2 linked regions of the Styela clava genome follow. Each later gene encodes a partner of the first gene's protein in a complex. Links are inferred from orthologs where the notes say so. Each region holds a gene or a part of one and is shown on either strand. Other genes may lie near its edges.

Region 1 (8,078 bases):
GTTGCAGGTGTTTCAGATTCTAAATCTTTTCCTCTTGCATCCACGACCTCCTGTAGCGCTGTTGGAGAAACAATCCCCTCCTCCATCATTTCAACAAGAACATGCAAAGCTCTCGATCGCACAGATGGAGACACATCTAACAATCTTCCAACAACTATCTTTAGCAAATAGCTGTGCTTTGTGGAAACAAGAGTGTCTGGATCGAGAGAATCATTCTCATCATTCAGACGCTCGGGCATACAAAGCAATTTCCCCACAGTTGCCAGTGTATTACTTCGATATACAATTTTTGAATGTACTGCCATTCTTCTGAGCCAATCACAGAAGTCAGCATACCAATTTGTAGGCATGTGCTGCAAAATACATGATACGATGGTTGCAAGATGATTGCGAAATTCTGTACGATCAGGACACTGAGCAATCAAGTTTTGTGTCAGTACAGATATACTATGGGAAACGGAATCTCCATGAACATCAAACAAATGACAAACAAGTTTTCGGAATATTTCCGAGTTTTGAAAGAAGGATCGTGAAACAGTAGACGATGGAATGTTAGCATCTCTCATTATAATTATGGGCAAAATGAATCGAAATAAGGTCAAACACAACTGATGAACATCACCATGTTTTACTGAAATTGTCAAAAACAAGGCATAAACAGCTTGTTGATATGGGAGTCTAAAACTGTCCGCAGTAGAACCATCACTACGAAAACTTTTGTAATCTATAATGCTTATTGGAGCATTCGTTTTCAAACAATTTGCAATTTTCACCAAGACTTGCATAGCATGTTTCAACGACACCTCATTAGACCTCAATGAAACAGATGCTAAATATTTACAGAAATCAGTCAATGTTAAATTAAGGAGCCTGTAAAGATTTGCCATTTGCGATGGAGTTATAACAACATTGCCATGATCTTCTTCTTCTTGTGTATTCTTATCATTGCTCGCCTTTCGCCGCTTCTGTGATTGACTTAGGGGTACATTTGCTTTTCTTTTGCGTCCTACTTCTTCAGACATTGTGGCATCAACTTGTGTCACCATCTGTAGAGAATTCACAGCTTTTTCAAAAAGTATAGCATGATGTAATTGTGATGAACTCATACCAGGCAACTGAAGTAGCAAAAAGTAAAAGTCCGCTGCAAGTAAACATAATAGTGTCTGCTCAAAGCTAGCAGACATTTTCAGACCAACGTGGAAAAGATAATATATCCAAGACTGAATGACTTTACTTGTAATTCCAATTTTAAGAAGTTCATTCAACAAAGAGCACCTTGTTTGACCAGACAAGTTCGCAAGTAGCTTAGATCCATTTCGAAGTGCTAAATTCAAGTCTTCCAGGTTATTGATAGCTGAAGAAGGTATGTCAATGTCAATTTCTGGGTCATCTGTAAATTCTGATGAATGCATTCGATCAACCCATTCCTCATCTAGATTTGTCAGTTCCAACGATTGAAATATATCCAAGATCAAGTTCTCATTCATTGTGATTGTGACTGAATGACTGCTTTATTTGTCAGATTCAGTAAAAAATCAATTGCGTTCTGTGAAAAGGCAGGGGGAGATTACAACAACATTATTGAAAAAATCCCTTTATCAATACATTGAAAAATAATGTTCACAGATGAATGATAGTGACATAAATAAAGCAAGCATTAATTGTGGGCATTAAAGCAACCATTAGCATTAATTCCTAAGTCTTATTAAATAATTCTTATTGAAATATGAAAGATAGGCCCATAGAATAGCAAATGAAAACTTGTAGACAGCCTAAAGCAAGCAAGCAAAACTGTATGAAAACAGAATGTATTCTGTACGACGAAGACATGAGATACAGAATATATACATGAAGATATGGTACAGTAGTACATTATTGTAGGAATAATTTAATAATAGGGGTCTAGCACAGTAAACGCCACAACTGTTTATATCAGTAAATAACACAATGACTCCTAACAAAAATGTGATGTAAGATATTTATTGTTACCGTAAGTAAAATGGAAAGATTACACATATCTAATACGAAATGAAATTCTTGACAGATGCGTTGAAGATTAGTTAAAACGAATCCTACTCAATTTTCAAATAAGCAGGTACCGGTATATCCCAAGTCAAATAGGGTCTGGCGTTCTCTGCAAGACAGATTTTTATTTGAATAAAGAAATAAAAATTTGGGATATTTTTCACATTGAAAAAACAATAAAAAAAAAGGGAGAAAATTGGGAAATGCAAAAAATATATCATAGACATTTAATTCCCTATTTGAAATAATGCATCGAATAAATTTTGTAATTTCTTTAAGGGTTCTTTAATTTAAATTCTTTAATTTCTTTTTGTAAGGGTTTGTTAACTCAAGAATTTTCTATATTGTTTCTACACATTATGGACATTTTTATCTGCTTTTTGTGGAGAGCAATACGGTTTGAAAAAAAAAAAGAATTTTTTCATCATCCAAATTTTATATCGCACTATTGATAACAAAAGAATAGTTGCATTCAAATCTACAGTGGTGGTATGACTGAATAAGGGTAAAATTACATAACATGCCGGAATCATAATTTATAACCAAATGTATTCTAATTAATTTTAATATAATTAAACAAACAAAATCATCATAGATTTTCTGTGCAAGTTCACAAGACTGCAAGACATAGAAATATGTGATACAAACTCTGATTCTTTATTACCGGTACATTAGGCCTAAAAATACATTTCATTTTCTACTATTCTTTTAATCTCTGTTTTTGTATTTAATAGCAACATACCCCAAAGTGATTTAAAAAGTGTTAACATAATTTGCGAAAATTTCATTAGGAATACATGGAATAGTCTACTAATGCAAATTGAGAAATTACTCTTATTTCAGTATTTGAATTACAGATAACTTAATTAGGCTACCTGCCTTTCCGATATTATCGCATTAAGATTTTTTATAATTTTGTCATACAGAACAGCAACAATTTCATATGCCTATGTTTGCCATTTTGACATCATACACATTCAAACTATCAATTATAGTCTAAGTACCGGTATACAATTAATTTACATTCAAAAGTTATTACAGCCAGTCGGGTCTTACTACTTACTGAATACAGCGCGAAACACCGCAAAGAGCGCGAAACAGAGGAAAACAGCGCGAAACAGATGGAAACCAGCGCAAAACAGAAGAGAAACAGCGCAAAACAGGAGACGCAGTCATTACCACCTTCTGCCACGAAAGAACCACGGCGCCTCTCGCCATGGTTTTATGGCGCTATTTCCGGTATATTTACAAGGTTATGTACCGGATTATAGGTCATCATGCGAAATTTTATCTACCTTTTTGGTGTGTGTGTGTGTGCAGCAATATGTCGCACAACCTGAATCCGCTACACACAAACAGATACTATTTTTAGGTTGTGCGCCATCTTGGTGCACATACTTCTGGAGGTCCCTTTTTACCTAGCCCTAACCCTAAAGCCAACCATATCCATATGTAAAATGTTCTAAATTATGGTACCCAAAATGTGTCACCAGCAGGGGCAGACCTGCCATTACAGCATTACTGGCTACATACGTTGGTTTGTGTTTTTAATTTGCTGCCGTGGTACTCCAACTCAAAACAAGGTGTCCCGAACTCATTGCAAAATTTTTTTCTGCTTTACACTGTTTCCCTCTGTTTTGCGCTCTTTCCCCACTGTTTTGCGCTGTTTCGTGCTCTTTGCGGTGTAAGTAAGAACATATGCGTGGCATCGTAGACTATATTAAATCCCATGTTAGATTGCGATCAGACTGCGGCTTCTAATCAATTTGTGTGGATTGTGGAAATGTTTGAAAGGCGTGCGACAGGTACCCAGTATAAGTTTATTTCAACTCCATATTCAGCATAACCAGATACCGGTAACAGGCGATAAAATGATTGATAAAAACAAATAAATAAAAAATGATTATGAAATTAAAAGAGCAAGCAAAACCTTACACAAGGTTTTTTTTTTTTTTTTTAATTGGTTCACTCATTGAGTGATTTCAATAAATATGTAAAAAATAAATAAACAAATAAAATAAATTATAGTCCACATTCCATTCATGATCCATTTGTTAAATTGAGTTTCACAGTATTTCCAGTTTGTTTCATCAGTAATAAGTATCCAACGATAATAATGTTATTTTAATAATTACAATGATATAATACAATAAAAAAGGAAAAACACAAAATTAGTAAATACAAAAAACTTATTATAAACCTGATTTAATATCTAAATTAATGCTTTACATAAATTTTGTAATTCTTTTTCAAAGAGTTTGTCTACTCTGGAATTTTCTATATTTTTTCTATACATTAGGGCCATTTTTATCTGTTTTTTAAGGAGAGCAATGTCAGGTGTTTTATTTTCAAATATTATAGAATTTCTCATTATCCAAATTTTATATCGCACTATTGATAATAAAAGAATAATTGCATTCAAATCTAATGCTGTTATATGACTAAATAAAGGATCATTAAAATTCAATAATATACAAGAATCATAATTTATAACAAAATTTATTCTAATTAATTTTAATATAATTAAGGAAACAAAATCATCATAAATTTTCTGAGTAAACTCACAAAACATAAAAATATGTGACACAAACTCAGGTTCTATATTACATAATAAACATAATTCATTTCCTGCTACTCTTTTGATCTCTGGTTTTGTTTTCAAGGGTAGAATATCCCATATTAACTTATAGTTGAAGGTCCTCGTATAATTTGCCAAAATTTTATTATGAATACTGTTACAAGTTATACTGAGATTTGAATTACGGATAATTAGGAGGATAGGATAGGATAGGATTTACATATTTATCCCGGGGGAGAGGAAAGCCGATAAGACGGCTTATCCATATGGCGAACCACGGCCTCTCGTCCGGTTACCATTCCAAGTCGGGTATGGGATTAGTTAGTTATACTGTATTGTTTGTTTTCGGAAGCATGGACTTGGTGGTGGAGGAAGCCGTAACCGACCAGCGGTTACGTGAACCACCCAACGACGGCGAGGAGTCCAGCAATCCTCTCGCACATAACCATCCCTGCATGGGAATCGAACCTGCGAACCCACGCAGAGTAATTAGAGGTGCGGTGGCGAGCGTATTCCTAACGCTGTAACGCTTAACCCGTTGAGCCACACCGCCGCGCCTACAAGTCTTTCCCCATTAATACTTTTTAAAACTTTATCAGTATTATTCTATTATTTATTTGTCTAACCACGATACCGGTACTATAATCGAATGTCCCATCCGATTAATATTACATGTTATTTCCCATTCTAAAGGGTAAACCGCGCAAATTCGCAAAACCCGCCAACGTACAAGTTGGTATCATGCGACAGCTTGCGGTGATGCGTCGTAAAATATGATATATTTCCATAATTTAGGCAAAAAATAAATACTAATATATAAATTTTCATTGATTAATCAAGGATATGATTTCTTATTATTTGACATGAGGTAGACCTATGGATTGTTTGTTGTTGGCTGTATTCTTTTTCTTGTTTTTATATTTGTTGTTCAACTACCAGACCAATTTCTTCGAAATTTCCAGTGGTTGGAGATCGTTGTTCGCTTAAGAAAAACATGTTATAATTTATGACGGACCACGTTGTTGTTCAACTACCACACCAATTTCTTTGAAATTTCCAGTGGTTGGAGATCGTTGTTCGCTTAAGAAAAACATGTTATAATTTATGACGGACCACTTTGTCGCCGGTTACAAGTGAAAACCGATTACAGGTTAGACAACGTCCCAGATACACAGACTTGCATGGAATCTCTTTCCTTCGCACACTCGGATGGTGGAACTGAAAATAGATGAACTATTTACTCTGAACAATGACATTAAACAACATGATGCGCAACTCCGGCATTTTTGTCCGAAGATCGTATTCGATAGCACGCTCCAATGCACATACTTGACGAGACGAAAACGAGCGGATGTGTGCTGCTTTCAAGGCGTAGCACGAATGGTAGCACTTGAGTAATTAAATTAAACGCAAAGTACATGAAGAAGGTGGCATTTTCGAAGAAAATGGGAGCTGTAACATTTCTGCTCTTCACAAAATTCTGAAGCACATTGTTAAATTTGTCATATTTCCATCAATACAATCAAAACACACAATAAGCTCAGCAGTCAATATGACAAATTCGAAGACCAACTTCGAACAGAAAATTTCCATGTGTTTGTATATTAATATAATTATACAACGACTTAGTTACTAAAAATCAATATCAATAATAATTCAAGCAATCCTATGCCACGCAATGTAGTGCAAAATGTCTTGTCGAAAAAATCTGTCATTTGTTTTTTTACTGATCTATACATGTGTAGCGTACCGGCAATGTATGAAATAATTATCCAGGTTCAGAATATCTTCTAATATGATCTGACGTCAAGTTTTCTCTCAATAGTCCAAGTCTTTGTGCTATTTTATGTCATTTATTAACAACTCGAACAGTAAACGATCCAAAACAACCAAACACTCCCCAAAGGAACGAAAAGCATAAAATAAAAATAACAGATACCAGGCAGTAAAATGCAAGAAAGACCACATACACAACAAAAACACTGACCAACCCTGAAATCCCAGACAACTCTGAATATAAAACCAAATGACCCCTAGAATCTGGTACAATGAACTAGCTACTGCAATTTGCAAAACAGGCCGAAAGTAACTTATGACAGGCATTTATAAAAACTATGAACAATTCTATAGGTGCACAACATTTGAACAATACTGATGAAAGCTAATTCCACGATAAAACTGAAAATACAACACTACGGTAAATGAACTGTAATGGCACTGTACTGGTAAAAACAATAACATGCAGACATGGTCCCTACGTCAGCCCACTGTCCAGCACAAAACATCCGACAGTCACACAACACAGACAAACATTCCTGAAGACCAGAGGCATTCGCACAGACATTCAAAACCCACCAATCTAACCGAAACACTCAGACGACTGCACTCTGTCACACACAGCATACACCAACAGACCACGCTGTCCAAGAGAACCGATCAACCGTGTCGCAGCGTCTAAACTGCTAGAATACCAAATATGGAAACGATATCACATGACGTCATTTAACAGATAAAACAAGGGTCCTAGAATACCAAATATGGAAGCATATTACATGAAGTCATTTAACAGGCAAAACAAGGGTCGTCACATTACCCCCCTCTTCTAGATGGAACATTATGAAAGAATGTTTTCATCTCTAAAAAAAATATTTGAAACACGAAAAGCAGTAGTCAAAACCAAATTATGTCCACAAATGTCTTTAAAATATGCAGGCCGTTTACCCTCACGCTTAAGCATCCGTAAAGTTTGTCATTCGGGATTGAGTCCACCAACGTCATCGAAACGACCAAATTGATGTTGCATATCTCCATTGGCTCAACAACGGCTACTATGTTAGATCTCCGGACGGCCAAGGCTGTTGCAGCTGAACTAGAACAACCAGTCCCGAGCGGCCGGTATAACCACAACTTCAACTATAGTCCCATGACAGCAGGGAGAAGCTGTTAACATCCTGTCCCTCAAGAACAAAACGATGCGACGAATTTGCCAAGATAGTCCATCCGTGACCCTAGATCGGCGACGGCAACGGTATGCTCCACAGGCCAGCTTTCAATCGTCAGGTTGACATCAAGTGCACCATGAGACACTAACGACTCGCCACTGGCAGTACGCAATGGTACTGGAAAAGAATACAGTTCTGAAATGTCCGAATTTCCTGCAACGTCGAGTAAACAGCGGTGTCTATGAGCGAGACACCCGAACCGAATTTCCCGCAACGTCAAGTAAACAGCGGTGTCTATGAGCGAGACACCCGCACGTGACCCTGGATCGGCGACCACAACTGTATGCTCCACAGACCAGCTTTCAATCGTCAGGTTGACATCAAGTACACCATGAGACACCAATGACTCGCAACCGGCAGTACGGAGTGGCACTGGAACAGGATGCAGCCCCGAAATGTTCGAATCTTCCTGCAACGACGAGTAAACAGCGGTGTCAATGAGCCAGACACCCGCACCGGTATCAATCAAAAAC
Region 2 (7,739 bases), on another chromosome or scaffold:
TTGGATTTCCATCCTCTGTGCGTGTAACTAACAAATAAACTCTCTCTCTCTCTCTATTATATTGATTTTATACTATGGCGGAGTCAGCTATTGATAATGACTAATGACCATCTATTTGAGAAATGCTTTTAATGAGAAAGTGTTAGTGGGTTATCGTCCTTATCGAAGAAAGAAATTCTATATAACAGATGCATATTATTTTACAACAATTTACTAACTAACAAAATTTCTTAAATCAAAGCACCAAATCAAATTTGTGTCAATGTTTCCCAACATGTGTTTGAATGCAAAAATACAAAGAGACTATCAAAAGAGGCTTGGATTCGATATGGCCCATAAAAAGTGAAAAAAAAGAAGTAAAATAAATATGTGAATGTGAAAATGATAACCACCCCTTGGAAATAACACAAAAGTTGAGATAACTCCCAATATCAACAAAAATGCCTAATTTGTGAGGCTGAAATAAAGAAAAAACAGAATAGCAATGATCATAAACAATAAACTTTTTAGGGCGTGATTTACCTAATAAAACTTTTTAAAACCGAAAATATAAGACGACTAGACGTTTTTCATCAAAATTTAGGATTTCGAAGAATAATCATCAAAACGTTCACAGAGTCTATGATGACTCAACAGCGTTAATTTCATTGTGTTAACAGACTTTTGGAAATCAGAATCTTTACTTATAAGAAAATTGTTGTCATTAACAAGCTGCAATGTAGCTGCAAATAGTCTACAAATGTACCATGAATTTGGCGATTCAATAGCATCTTCAAATAATTTAGTATCTTGTGGCTTTTCAAATTTTTTCAGCATCATTCCTCCATACTTATGGATGTCAAATTCCGGTCTTGAATTTTGTTCTGCAAGACGTGGAGTAATAGATTCATCCCATAACTTTACTCTTTGTGACAACGCAGTTTCTTCTTTGAAACGCCTAGCAGCAGAATAGAACATTTCAACATGGTGGCGAACGAGGTCTTCATAAGAAGTGGGACTGCTTACAGTTTCATGTGCAGTATGATTCCCCTTGCCTTGATTATCTACCACATCACCAATAAGGTCATCTAGGTCAGGTGAAAAATGATCCGAATGTATTGTCGAGTCATGATTCATTGGTTCAAGTTGTTCTTCTTCGCCAAACACCGCATCAGGGCCTACATCTTTTCCAGGCATTCCAAGTGAATGGTCAACATCACTTGTCATAGCTAATAGTTTTATATTTTTCCAAAGTAAAGCTCTTTCTTTAGTTTCTGCAGCTATGAATTTCTCAAGACATTTGTCATGATACTTAATGTCTCTCCTTTTCTTGTAACCTTTGTTCATTATGAAAAGTGATATTTCTTCAACTTTATCCACAGTCGGGCTGTTAATCTTTCTTTTTCTAGTGGTTTTAGATTGGCGAATAGAAGCTGGAATACAATGGGACCTGATTTTTTCATATTTTTTGACCGCAAAGCAAGGTATTCTACAATGCTCATGTGGATCAAGGATGGTGGGAAAAACTGGGGTTTCATGTATGGGTACAGGCTTGGCAAGAAACCTTTCTCTTAACTGCATTCTTTCTATAACAGTTTTTTCTTGTTCTAAATTTTCAACGAATGGAGGAGCATCATCCATGTCATCAGCAGCAGCTCCTGCATCCATGGACTCGTCCATTCCACCAAAATTATCCATTTCTTCTCGGACAGAATTTGTCTCCACAGGTTCTTCAGACCGAGAAAAAATGTTCATCGGAGCAATTTCTAATTCTTCTAATGATGGAACAATAATTTCATCCAAAAACCCACCTGAATCTCTATCAAGAACACTCATTCTTTTTTCAAATGGGATAAATCGATTCTCCCAAAAATCATTTGTGTAACAAACGGAGTCATTCTTGTTTTCAGACAATATCAATCTTCCTCTTTCATCATTATCATTTTCAAGCATTGCTGTAGGGGTTATAGGAATAGGTGTAATTGGGTCATAATTCGAAGTGAATTCTCTTTTCGAAGTTATTGCAACATCATTCAGATTTAGCAATTTTTCTTCATCATCGTCAAAATTGGGATCAATAGTTTTATCACTAGAAGAATTGTTGGGATTTTCATCGGGAACCTCTTTCTGTCTGTTTGTGATCATTTCTAGCGTCTGTTTTACAAGAACATATAAGTATTCAACTTTTTTACTCCATACACAGGCTGTACCTTGAATGAGCAAGGATGCTTCCGCAAAATTAAGCACAGTTTTTCCATTGTCAAATTCAAAAGTCATTTTTTCTAATTCTTCCATATATTCTTCCAAAACATGTGTTAAATCTATTTCCCAATTCTTAGTAATATCCTTTATTGGCTGTAGCAAGAAGCCATACTTTTTCTGAAGATCTTCTGATAACACCATATTTACGTTTAGGTTCCTCTAATTATCTTATGAGGAAACAATGATTGCAACTTGATTAAACAGAAATATACCATGATAAAAAAATACAGTGAAAAAGAACCATCACTCAGCTGTGATTAGTAAAGGTTGCAGAAATTGCTGAATTACACTCATAAGACTCATTACAGCATTAGGGAAAGAATTTTATTTAACACCCGTCACTAGGCATTTTTCACATATCAGAATTTCAAAATACATTCTTTCCTTACTTTTCCATGAATTGTCAGATTGTATACATAAAAGGACAATATATCTGTATATAGTCTTTTACTGTGATGTACAATTATAGAAAATTGTAGTACAGTAGTAAAGCCCTTAATGCAGCAAAAAGTAAATCTAAAGTCCAACTTTTTTGTTTTGCTCAAGTTAGTAAGTGCTGAAGAGTGTAAAGCAACACCTGACAGTCTGAACGTATCATGGATTCAGAAGCAGAAAGAAGGGAACAGAAAAAAAGCAAGTTAGGTTACCGTATGCAATACCCGTAGGTCCTATGATTACGAAATGTATTGTACCGTACCGGGCACCATCTTTGTCAAACGACGTCTAGTTGTCTGGACGTGTACCGTAGTGCTGTAGTGTGTATCACAAACCAGCAAACTGATATATTCAAATATAGTAAGCCTTTCTTTAGCTTGGACACGCTTGGCTGCAATTACATAAATATCACAGTAACGTATTTGCTATGAAAAGATACAGGTATAGCAGTCTACTAGGACAGAATGACCGAAGCACAGGCGACACAGCAAAAGCATAACTACCGCAACGTCTGAAATCCGGACACCTGAAAGCACAAAGTTTTTCTAAATGAGAACTTTCCCCGTTACGCATGACGAATTTGCCCGCCAATAGTTTTTGATGATTTGACTGCTTAGTAGTGTTGAGCACAAACAGGATTCAGGACTCCGAAAAACAGGACTCCGGCACGGTTTTCAACAAACAGGATCGGATCAGGAGTGGGAACATTCTTGGTTGCCCGGAGTCAATCAGGAGTCCCAACTAAATCTATAATATACCGTGACCGATAGAAGTACCGTACGTCTGTACGTACCGGTGCAGGCATAATTTGAACGGACTTGAATTATCTGTACCGGTACCGTACCGTACATAAATATTAATACATATTCGTGCTTCTTCAGGATGCTACCGGTACCGTAAAAGCGCCTAACTTCGGACAGTCCCTAACTTCGGACAAAATTTTTGAACGGCCATATCTTGGCTAAAACGCGCCGTATATTGCTAATTTCAATTATTACTGTATTATAGGTTGCGCTGTTATATCTACATCTATTCTCATCTTTTTTAATGTTGCATAATTATTTTTTTGGTAAAAAAACGTAAATTTTGCCTAAAATTGACTGCCCGGCATTCAACGGCGCAGAGCGTCGCTCCTACTGAAGCTATCGTCGTCAAAATACCATCATTCGGTAGAGGGCGACAACAATGTATATAATTTATTTGAGTGATCGCAAGATGTCGTACGAGATTTAAATAAAACCTAAAATTCTAAATTATAAATTCCGTAAGAATATTAAGATTTCACGCAGCGTCAAAAATTACGTCAACCTCACGTAGATTATTTTTCGCTCACTTCCGAAACGACGTCACACTGCGTCGCGGAAATGAATTTTGACGCCAGACACAACGGAGCCAATATGACAATTTCCGTTAAGATAAAGACGGCGTTCCAACGTAATATTTTTGTATTTTGTTCGGTCATGTATGAATATATGCCAAAATTACATTAATGAAAATAAATGTCACACTTAATCGATGACGTTAAAAATCGAATATATAAAACTATGATAATTCCAACGTCCATATGGCACAGTGCACTGACTTAGCCATTATTTTATGATTAGTAGTCGAAATGACAGTCATTGAATACGGCCTGGGTGAATTTTATTCACTCGAAATTAAATCTCCAACAAATAAACGGGACCTACATGTTCACAAGATTAAGTTGAATTTTAAATTAAACTTTACAATCGGATTTACCTTGTGTTTGATATAAATTATCATTTATAAAGATAACCGCGCAGAATAAAAAAAGCTATCTGTCGAGAATATTTAATACTTCAAAGACTTCCATAGAAGCCCGTTAAAATACTTAATTGTGGATTGAAACGGGCCGCATCAGATATATTTACGTATGCATTTCCTGATTAAAATGACTAACGTGTTATTATACTCATCGGAAGTATCGAAAATAACGAACGAAAGATGTAAACATAGGACGACGGAAGTTTCAAATAATGCATTTTCGTCGTGACGTCAATGTTACGTTACGACGACGATCGAGCGTCTTATCTTCACGCAACGACGTGATTACGTCATCCGCATCGGAAGCCTCTTTCTCTCTGTGCGTCGCGGTTACGCAGTGAAGAAAATGACTGTCCGAAGTTAGGGCAGTGAAGGATAACGGTCAGATGGCAAGAAATATCGATTATTTCAATAGTAAAAATAGTCCAATTGAACCGAAATTTGCAGGGAATGTAAATTACCGCACGAATGTTTTACCGAGCAATTTTGGCACCGTTTGGACAATAAATGGCCGAGTTATTGACGAAAGTATAGTAATTTTGTCCGAAGTTAGGCGCTTTTACGGTACCATTTATGAATCTGTGTTTACCACTTCTGTATCGGTACAAGCCTGAACTGGGTGTTTTATAATTTTAAACAGAGTTCTGGTGTTCTGTGTTTGGATGCGGTTGTCGGGTTGTAGCGAATACCGGTACCGGAACTCACATGCAGACATGCCTGTACCGGTATGTGTCGTGAATTTGGTGTGCATTACCAAGGAAATGCATCCTATACTGTTCACTGTTATGTAGAACACTCACTGTATAATCAACAGATGGAACATGCTCTTGGCGAAGAATAATGTTGAATACTTGAATGTAATTGTGGCTATGAAGCATCAGTTCTATGCAGACTTTGCAATATTTAAATGTGATTGTAGTGAACACTGAATTAATGGGGTGAGCAAGCCTCAAGCAAAATATTATTCTATGACTATAACTAATTTTTTATACGATCCCTGAATTTTGTTATGTCATTGAACATAGTAATGAGTGTGCGCTAGTGTGACTTTGCAATGTTTAGATGCTGCTGTAGTGAACACTATAATCCTAATAATTGCTTTTATGAGTGTCCGCACACCGAATTTGCCGCCATGGTTTTGCGTTTGTTTGTATATTAAACACTTATCACCTTTTCCGCAATGCCCAATTTAGCAATCAGTGTAGTTTTTCATGGCTTGGTTTCTCTTAAAGCTTTCATGGCTTCATGAGTATGACTATCGTCGCAAATTTATTACATTCCACTCCCCACATTATCTTTGCATGAGGTTGTAGGTATTGGTCATTGTCAACGTAATTGTTGAAAGAGAGTACAACAGCCCGAAAGTTTATTACTATCGTGTATTTTGTTTTTTAAGTTTGGCCCAAGCCTCATTTAATTGGGCTTGTGTTTTTGTGTGCGTGCTGGTGGGCAGGCACATGAGATACTTCATGTTTTAAACTTTTTTGTAGGTTTTGCTTGCCCTCCAGAATTCTCCATTTTAAATTCAGGTTTGTTATGGAGTTTTCGAAATAAACTATCTATCTAACTATCTATCTATCTATAGTCAGTCCCCCCAGTTGATCCCCCATAGTCCCCCCCCATAGTCAGTGGTTTTAGTTTTAGCAATGTTTAAATGTGAGTTTGGGAAACATAATAATGAATATTTTCAGATATTCTCAAATGTTTCAGATGTCAGGATGGAAAAACATCATAAAATACATCAGCGCAGCCAGTTTTTGATGTTGCTGCTGTAGTGAACACTAAATTTGGTCAATATTAGATTTGTCAACAGGAGCGAAACAGGAGTCATAGTTTTCTTTGTTCGGAGTCGGACTCCGAGTTCGAATTTTGATTTCGGATCAGGACGGAGTCGGAGTCTGAAAATTCTGACTCCGCTCATCTCTGCTGCTTAGTGGTTGCTTCTTGCTTGCCTCAACTTTTCTGCGACGGATTTTCTTATGGCGGATTGATTTTTACTGGATGTTTTTGCTTATATTGCTTGGACGATTTGTGCAGAGAATTGCGTGTTTGAAAACCCGTGACTTGCAGAGTCGTTCACTTGGCCACATGAGTATGTTTTTGTGTACCTGGTACGTCCTTTTTCAATATAGCAAAGTCTGAAAGTTATACGCCTGAAAGCCATGGTTCGTTTAAACATTAATGATTTGGTGATCCTTTGTGCTGTAGTCTACTCTATCATACAGCTAGCGTTATAAAGAGATGTGTAATCGTTAGTATGATAACTGGAACAATTTTTCTGAGGGTAGTAAGATAATACTGCTCCCTTAATTCAAACGAATTTTGAGAAAAAAATAATTAAAAACCTTGTCACCAGTGACGCAGCAAAGTTATAAGTCCGTATATCGGCACAACTGTTGCACCCTTCAATCCTTGAAACCATAAAAACTTGTCTTGCCTAGTCTATATAGAATAAATTTTGTTATCCAGTTATCTGTATGAACAAAAATTCACATGGCTAACAAACAGCTATATTGGATAAACAAGAAATAAAACCTATAAAGTCTACATATAAAAATTTATATTAGCTATGACTGTATGAAGCTTGGAAAAAACATAATATTCTGGTATTTGTGCCTCAAAGAAGGTCAAGAATTGCCATGGTTTTACTCCACTTTATACAAAACACTGCCAATCTGAATGAGTATTATTACTACTAAATACTATTCAGTTATTATTTAAAGCAAAAACATTTTTAACACCAGTTTTCAAAAATAAATTGTTATGAAATAGTAAAGACTAAAATAAGGGCTATGCAGTTATAATATGGTAATCATCATAGATAATAGAATATAAGTCTTCGCACAAAGATATGTCTCTGAACCCAATATAGTTTTATGACGAAAATATGAACTAATATCTGGGGTAGGTATGGTCAGACTAGGTCCCATACAAATTCATATAGCAAAGAGGCATCATGGGAGCGTGACTGTTGGCAGTAATCTCAGTACAAGGGCATAATAATTTACAATTTGATTATTCCTGTGTTATGATAGGGTTTTTTATACCGTGCTTGTTTCTACATTTTGCTTTGAACAAGGCCCTGTACAAGCAGCTACGAATATCTAAAAAGCCACTATTTCGGGGAGGGCTCGGCGGTGTGGCGCATCTCTGGCCCTTCGTGGGATCGCAGGTTCGACCTGGACCAGTAACCGGACGAGAGGCAGTAGCTCACCATATGATTAATATATGACTTCTTATCGCCTTTCCTCTCCCCCGGGATAAATATGTAAATCCTA

Evidence for each region.
Region 2: the proteins of condensin-2 complex subunit D3-L-like (region 1) and condensin-2 complex subunit H2-like are in contact, whole or in part, in a cryo-EM structure (PDB 9F5W), measured with the Homo sapiens proteins. The link is inferred for Styela clava from reciprocal best matches to the Homo sapiens genes NCAPD3 and NCAPH2. Residues at the interface, in NP_056076.1 of Homo sapiens: Arg589, Pro591, Met629, Glu680, Arg683, Tyr684, His690, Lys724, Glu793, Asp800, Gln803, Arg804, Arg807, Gln817, Leu820, Gln865, Leu866, Cys867, Pro868, Ala869, Arg870, Val871, Val918, Ile925, Lys929, Leu932, Gln933, His934, Ala956, Asn960; in NP_689512.2 of Homo sapiens: Trp22, Ser68, Lys69, Glu72, Tyr75, Tyr79, Leu82, Asp83, Ser86, Ile144, Ile145, Pro146, Leu147, Leu148, Met150, Ala151, Leu152, Val153, Asp156, Glu159, Asn161, Asn162, Asn163, Pro164, Leu165, Tyr166, Ser167, Arg168, Gly170, Leu173.

Annotation. Positions count from the first base shown.
Region 1 is NC_135257.1:9,712,043-9,720,120, forward strand, and holds the start of condensin-2 complex subunit D3-L-like, read right to left. Parts: upstream 3,079-8,078; 5' UTR 1,990-3,078; intron 1,547-1,989; 5' UTR 1,488-1,546; coding exon 1-1,487.
Region 2 is NC_135251.1:18,726,728-18,734,466, forward strand, and holds condensin-2 complex subunit H2-like, read right to left. Parts: upstream 3,022-7,739; 5' UTR 2,383-3,021; coding exon 580-2,382; 3' UTR 579-579; downstream 1-578. UniProt on the Homo sapiens protein: Regulatory subunit of the condensin-2 complex, a complex that seems to provide chromosomes with an additional level of organization and rigidity and in establishing mitotic chromosome architecture.